2 linked regions of the Coturnix japonica genome follow. The protein of the gene in region 1 interacts with the protein of each later gene in a pairwise test. Links are inferred from orthologs where the notes say so. Each region holds a gene or a part of one and is shown on either strand. Other genes may lie near its edges.

What was found.
Region 2: the proteins of MORN3 (region 1) and RSPH1 interact in binary tests that used the Homo sapiens proteins (3 or more experiments, as listed by UniProt). The two-hybrid records come from large-scale screens. The link is inferred for Coturnix japonica from reciprocal best matches to the Homo sapiens genes MORN3 and RSPH1.

Annotation. Positions count from the first base shown.
Region 1 is NC_029530.1:4,805,259-4,809,008, forward strand, and holds the end of MORN3 (MORN repeat-containing protein 3), read right to left. Parts: intron 2,761-3,750; coding exon 2,576-2,760; intron 1,423-2,575; coding exon 1,351-1,422; 3' UTR 506-1,350; downstream 1-505. UniProt on the Homo sapiens protein: Assembles a suppression complex (suppresome) by tethering SIRT1 and MDM2 to regulate composite modifications of p53/TP53.
Region 2 is NC_029516.1:98,604,779-98,608,528, forward strand, and holds the start of RSPH1 (radial spoke head 1 homolog), read right to left. Parts: upstream 2,431-3,750; 5' UTR 2,358-2,430; coding exon 2,304-2,357; intron 1,920-2,303; coding exon 1,806-1,919; intron 1,687-1,805; coding exon 1,581-1,686; intron 70-1,580; coding exon 1-69.

The DNA of each region.
Region 1 (3,750 bases):
AAAGCAGCAGGGAAAGGAAGCAGGTTGGACTTGATGTGTGTCCTGGAACAAGTGGTGCTGTAGGGCTGAAGAATTGTGTGTCTGTCTGTAAATGATGTATTTAAAACTCCTAACGTTATTTTGAATGTAAGTCCAGAAAATATATTATCAAAGCTTAATTTACAAAGCTTATTTTGTAAAGTTATTTGCTGTTCTTGGTAAGTTTCTGGATTTCTTTTTATCTTGTGGATCTTTTACAAAATGAAAGTGTTTTGTTTAGGAAATATAAAGCTACGAGCTTATTTTTTAACTTTCTTAAGCCAGTGGGTCCTAACCTGTGGGAGCTGTGAGCTACAGCCATTTGACTGACTATTTCCTGCACTTTAATCTCTGGTATCAAGTGTGTTTCTCTCCTTTTCCAGCTGTGGGAATGGTCATGAAAGTTGTGCCTTGGACACGTCTCATAGCTGTGTGCCAGAGGCAGTAACCAGGCCTGAGCGTATGGCTCCAGATGTTACGAGTGCACTTAACGTTTGTTTTTTATTCTTTATTTATACTAATGGTATTTCACGTTTACCTCAAGCATTTTAAATGTCAGTTATTGTTTGTCAATTATTTAGATATAAAACAACTTCAGATAATGAAATAAAACATACTCAACTATTGCTGATTGTTACCCAGATGCCTGAAAATGCTCATTTTCTCTACATCCCCCGCCTCTATTTGCCTGTGTTGTGCTGCCCCTCGCCGTGTTTCTGAGGGTCTCTGAAATGTGTGCAGGTACTCGTTGCAGTCGTACAAGGATGACGTTTCCCGTTCACACAGGTATAAAGAGCACAATGTTGGCGGAATGCTTTTCCTCCCATCAGCACTGTTTAAATCTTGACACTAAGTGCTCTGTTGTTCTTTTCCAAGTGTTTAAATAGAAAAGTAGGTTATCTTCCAACTGAGAAAATGTGAAAAGGGACCAGCTTTACAGCTGTAAACGAGACATGGTGCTCTGAAGTGTAGCTTAAATCAGAACTGATGACGCAGCATCCTGCAGCGTGTTGTTTCTCAGCAGTCGGCCACAGACCTTGTGACCAGCAGGAGGAATAGGCCAGGATCTGGGCAAAGAGTCACTGCATCCACCAGCGTATTTTGGTGGTGTGGATGGTTTTTATTTGCTGCTGCTTGTTGTGTTTTAAGTAACAGTGGGTGGGAGGAGGCCTGAAGCAAAGCCTGCCTGCACAGTGAAGCAAACAGGGGCAGTTCTGGGGGACAAGTGAGGCTGACCACAAGACGATGTACAGCAGCACAGACATGGGACTCAAATAGGCAAGTATCCCAGATCATGTTCTTATCTTGCATCTTTTGTCCTTTAGCATCCAGTTATTCGTTTTGGCTGTCAGCAAACATCTTTTGGGCCTCTGCTAAAACACCATCAGGATCAGCCAGTTCAATCTAAATAAAAAGAACAGAAATCAATTATGCAATGTAATTAAAGAGGCTTAAAGTTTATAGATATTGATTAACGTTAACAGAGCATCTCCCACGCAGCAAGACTGTAGTTTATCCCACAGCCTTTCAGTTACTAATTCAGAAACATCACTGCACTTCCCAAATTTCATTACAGGGTTGAACATCCATTTGTCTCCTTGCAGCAGCTGAAAGTGGAGCACCGCAGTGATTCTTCTTTAACAAAAGCACGTTCCTGAGCAAAACTGGCTTTGGTCTGCAGCCTGTTGGATCTCACCTGTGGTTTCAGACAGTGAGTAATAAGCAGCCATTACACTCAGCATCAGTAAGTTATGTGACAGCAGGAGTCCTTGCTGTCAAATGGGGTGGGTGCAGGTAATGCACAGGGAAGCACAACAGCAGCTGCTCCGAGGCCACTCAGTTGTCCTTCCCCTCACTACAGTTAGGGCCCTCTCAAACACATCCTCCTGTTGCTCATTATCCTTGCACGCCCTGAAAGGGAAGATGCTGAGTTTTCCCTCACAGCTGCTACTGACGGTAATTTGACAAACGGTTCATGAAAACCTGCAGTCAATTTTTCTCCTTTTATGTTTCTTCATTCCTATTCTGAGATCAATAAATCTCTCCCAGCTGAAAGCACAATAACGGCAGTGAGAGCTGATGCTTTCTTTTGGTTCATAAAACAAGGAAAATTAGGTCATAATTTGGTCTCCAAGGGAGTTAATTGAGCTGCTGGGCTCGAACATCCTGCTTTAGCAGCTACAAAACTCATCCTGTGCCCTGGGCTGAGCTGCCAAAGAGGCAGCTCTGTTGGGTGACCTCTAACAAACCATGTGAGGTAAAGATTTTTAGTTACAGAAGCTGCTCTTTTTGCAACATTAGGGCTGTTTTTCTCTGGTGAGTGTTTGGTTTTTATTATTCTGTGCTGCTGTGATATTTGTTGGAGAACCTTACAATGCAAAGCTCTGCATTGTTTGGCTGCTCTCTATGGAATGGGATGCTGCTGACCAAAAGAGCTCGAGCACAGACCCTGAGTGACTACCTGAAGAGAAAGCATGGTCCAGAGAGGTACTGTGAGCTCTTATAAGCACTATTGGTGTAAACATGGTTAGCAAAAGCAGCATTTCCAAGCAGTTACCTTTGGGATTGGATACCGAGTAGGGGCAGGAGCTGCATCTCTGCTGAAGTCAATCATAGTCCCGCACTTCGGTACATCTGTCACCCAGATGCCTTCAAACAGTTGCCCCTTATCCAAGTAGTAGAATTTGCCTGGGCCGTGTTTCTTTCCATCCTTCCAACCTCCTTCGTACCTATTGTTACTTGCTGCAATCAAATACATGAACAGGCTGTGAAATGTGCATGTGTTCATCAAGAGGTTGGACACAAAGCTGGGGCTGTAGCCTGCACAGGAAGGAACACTCTGGTGTTCCCATGCATTGCTCACATCTGCTGCCCCAGCAGAGGACCCCAGGGCTGCATTGCTTATGGCTGCATTGCTTATGGCTGCATTGCTTATGGCTGCATTGCTTATGGCTGCATTGCTTATGGCTGCATTGCTTATCGCTGCTCTGAGCTGTGCTGGTGAAGCAGCACCTTGCTCCTGACTGCTCCCCCTGCCAGGCACGTGGCCAGGGTGAGCGATTTAATCTGAGCTGTGGCTCGTTGTGACCTCCTCTGGAGAGCTCCTTTTTCTTTTACCATTGCAATGCTGCCAGCACAGGGCACGCTTCCAGCGGCCGAGCTGAATGTGTTCGGCTTATGGGTATGAAATAATCGCTCTGGCTAATTTTAACCAGAAGGAATCCAGCTCGGTGGGGTCCCGGGCTCTGCCTGGGGCAGGCGGGCTCTTGGGCAGTACAACAGCAGTTGCTAAACCCAGAGAGTGTCTGATTTGTAACAGGGAGAGTGGCTTGGATGGGAACAGAATGGGGCAGCTGAATGAGCCGACCCTGAACGCATGCGTTGGTGTCATTGCTATGAGCCATTGATCCAAAATGGGTTTACAGCCAGCAGAGAAAGCGTAGATGTGTACGCAATGTGCAGGGGGGTCACGCTCGTTCCTCCTGGCTGCTTTGCTTAGCAAGTGATTTGCCTGGAGATTGCCCCCCAGAAAATAAAGAGATTAATAATGGGAATGATGATGACCTGCAGTGATGGCGTTTCTTCCAGTGTTCTGGAATGTGCTGTTCCATACTGCAGAGGGCTGGGATTCTTGGCTTTGGGGAAAAAAACACTGAGCTGCTAGCAAAATAACAGGGAAAAAGATCCAGATTTCTATTTTATGGTGGGATTGCCCCCAGCAGCTCCAATCTG
Region 2 (3,750 bases), on another chromosome or scaffold:
CAGCATAGGTGTCTCCATTTGGGTAGGTATATTCTCCATACCCATGTTTCTGATCATCTACCCAGCTTCCTTTAAAAAGAACATATCAATAACACAGTGAGAAGCAGTATATTTAGTCATGTGATATAGCAGTCAGTTTGTAAAATTGTCATACATTAATTCAACTGAGTGGAGAATACACCTCATTAGAGAAGGAAAAGAAAACTATGACACCATTATGACTGACTGCTAAAACAAATCCTGTTCTTTCCCACTGAACACAAAAAAACTAATGTAAATGGGAAACATTTGTTGATTAAAATCTAAGCATATCTGATTTGCATATCAGTATTTAAGTATGTCAATGTTAATATCAAAACAGATTAAATCAAAGAGGCACTGATACTCTGTGGCAAAGAAAAGGATGATTTATTATACATCTGACAAATGGATGAGAATTTTGATGGATGAGATGAGATGAGATCATTAGACACAACAGGGTAGATAGCAGCTCCATATGCAAGACTATCCAGTAACTTTCCACCTTCCGACCTGAGTATAAGTGTAGGAACAATTCAACGTTAGAGGCAAAGACAATACTAATGTTTTCACTTGGGATGGTTTTCTTCCCCTATTGAGATACTATCTTCTTTGCTCTTTGTTATCAAGGAAAGGCTTCCCCATACACAGAGTTTCCAAGTTCTGTTATCTGTCTTTGCCAACTCTGCCTTCTTGTTCCCTGCTCATTTACTTCCACTGCCTTCATTATGCTTTTTTGCCTCTTAAGCAATAGCTATAAAATCAGTACAAAGAAGACGATATGAAAACAGAGGCCCATGGTATTTGTCATCTCAACTATATTAATCCTGGCTTAAGACATATCCTGTTAATTCCCATCTCTAGGTGTCACAACAGACTCATTAGCAGGGTCTGTTGTGATGAGATGAGGGTAAATGCTTTCAAACTAAAACCAGAGAGATTTAGGCTGTATATAAGGAAGACATTTTTTGCAATGAGGATGATGAAGCACTGGAACAGTTTGCCTAGAGAGGTGCTGGATGTCTCATCCCTGGACACATTCAGGGTTAGGTTGGATGGGGCTCTGAGAACCTGATGTAGCTGTAGGTGTCCCTTTTCATTGCAGGGGAGTTGGACTACATGACCTTTAAGGGATCCTTCCAACTCAAATAATTGTATGAGTCTATACTGAACACAGCAATTCTAATCATCATACATATGATTAGATACGAGCAATTATACCCTCTTCTATCAAGATTGCACCAGATTAGACATGATGCTTGGCATTTCTCAGGACGTGTAATGCCTCACTTGAAATAAGGACATGTCTAGAATAAATTGCTACTAAATACCACACTTATCAGAGTATTTCAAGTAAATCCCCATGAATAAATAAATAAATAAATAAATAAATAAATCTGCTCTTGGAGCTCATAGTAAAAAAGGAATAACGGGAAAATGTTTTATAGCAAATGTATCTTTTTAAAATAATCTCCACTTTGCTGTCTTCTTGTATTCCAGGAGCTGGAGAAACACGTCTTTTCAATTACAGAAATCTGTGCAACCATGTTCAGTGCTTTTACCTTCATATTTTGATCCATCTGGATAATAAAATGTACCTTGGCCATGCTTTTTATTTTGAAGATATTCTCCAATGTAGCAAACACCAGATTTAAATCTGTAGGTCCCCTAAAAGATATTTGATATAGGTAAAAGACTTGTCAGTTCTCACTCATTTCAGTATAGTGCAGAGACTCACAGAACTGCAGAAACACAACCACACAGCCACTGTCTGGTTACTGTCTCACCTGCCCATTTCTGAGATTGTGCTCGTATTCACCCTCATACTTATCACCATTGGGCAGCACTGCTTTCCCATGTCCGTGCCGTTCACCTTCATTATTGCGGTCACCATCATACTCCTAATCAAATGCAATTAGAAAAATTGTTTAAGAGCAATAGACCTGCTTGAAATCAACCTAATTAGAGGAAGCCACGTTTTCTCAAAGGTGCTCCAGCTGTGCTCCAAGCAGAGCATGCAGAAGAGCCTGGCCAGCGTGTGCTGCTTCTCCGCAGGCTCTCCCTTCAGATCCCAGCACACAGGGCCCTTCTTTCCTTCTTGACTCATTGCTGGGAAGCATGGATGACCTGTGAAGAAAATAGGTCCCAGCCAAAATAGCTCAGCCCTCCCTCTGGTGTAGCACCCTGAGATCTCCCCACGGGGCCTACGGTATCAAAGCCCCCACAAGCAGTAGCTTCTCTCTTCCGTTCCCCGCCCTGCCCCGAGGCCCCGCTCCCTGCCGAACCCCCAGGTAAGGCTCGGCCTCCTCCTCGCCCTCCTCGTCGCTCTGTTCCGACATGCTGCTGCCTCCGCGTCTCAGCCGTCGTGATGGCAACCGGGCACGCGCGTTGCGTTACCGTTATGGCCGGCGGGGGCGCGCCTGCTGTCCCGGGTGCTGAGGGCACCTCGATGAGGAGACAGCGCCGCGTTAATACAGAGTTAGATGGGTTAGAAGGGAGCTCACAGCCCACCCACCCCACCCCCAGCCGTGGGCAGGGCTGCCCCCCTCCAGCTCAGGCTGCCCAGGGCCCATCCAACCTGGCCTTGAGTGCCTGCAGGGATGGGGCACCACAGCTTCTATGGGCAGCTGTGCCAGCGCCTCACTGCCCTCTCAGTGAAAGATTTCCCCCTAGTATCTAATCTAAATCTCCCCGTCTAAATTTAAAGACACTCTCCCTTGTCCCATCGCTGTCAACCAATAAAAAGTCACTCCCTCTCCTGCTTAAATGTTCCCTCCAAGTGCTGGGACCCTGCAATGAAGTCCCCCTGGAGCTCTCTCTTCTCCAGGCTGCTCAAGCCCAGTTCCTCCAGCCTCTCTCCACAGGAGAGGTGCTCCAGCCCTCTGAACATCTTTGTGCCCTCCTCTGGTCCCTCTCCAACAGCTCCCATCCTTCTTGTGCTGGTGATCCCAGGTCTGGACACAGTACTCCAGATGGGGCCTGGTGAGGGCAGAGCAGAGGGGGACAATCCCTCTCCCTGCTGGACACCCCTCTTCTGATGCAGCCCAGGATACCATTGGGCTTCCAGGTTGTAAGAACATGCTACTGGCTCATGTCATGTTTTTCATTCACCAGGACTCCTAAGTCCCTCTCAGCAGGGCTGATCTCAAGGAATTATTGTCCCAATCTGAACACATATCGTGCACTGCCCTGACCCAGCTTCAACACCTTGCACTTGGCCTCGTTGAACCTTATTAGGTTCACATAGGCCCACTTTTTGAGTTTATCAAGGTCCCTCTGGATGGCACCCCTTCCTTCTATTGTACCAAATGCACCACTCAGTTTGGTGTTGTCCACAAACTAGCTGAAGGTACACTCAATCCCGCTGTCTATGTCATTAATAAAGATATTAAAGAATACTGGTCCTGGGATGTACATCTGGTGGACACAACTCATTACCAGCTCCACTTGGGCATTTCATTGTGTTTCAAATGTGAGCTGCAGCATGCTAGATCAATCATTCTTATAAAATTAATTTATTTACTTCAGTGCAAAGCAATTCTTTGTTATTCTTTAGGAAAATACTCTAGAAACCTTCCCTAGCTAAGGAAGTTATTAGTCACTAAAGGAGCTACTGGTCATTAAGGGAGTTTTACTGGTCACTCCATCATAGCTCATGCCTGCTTCTTGCAGATTTGTGGGCAGGTTGCCTTACTAAATGCAAGGAGTCATTTGCTTCTCTGTGACAGCACT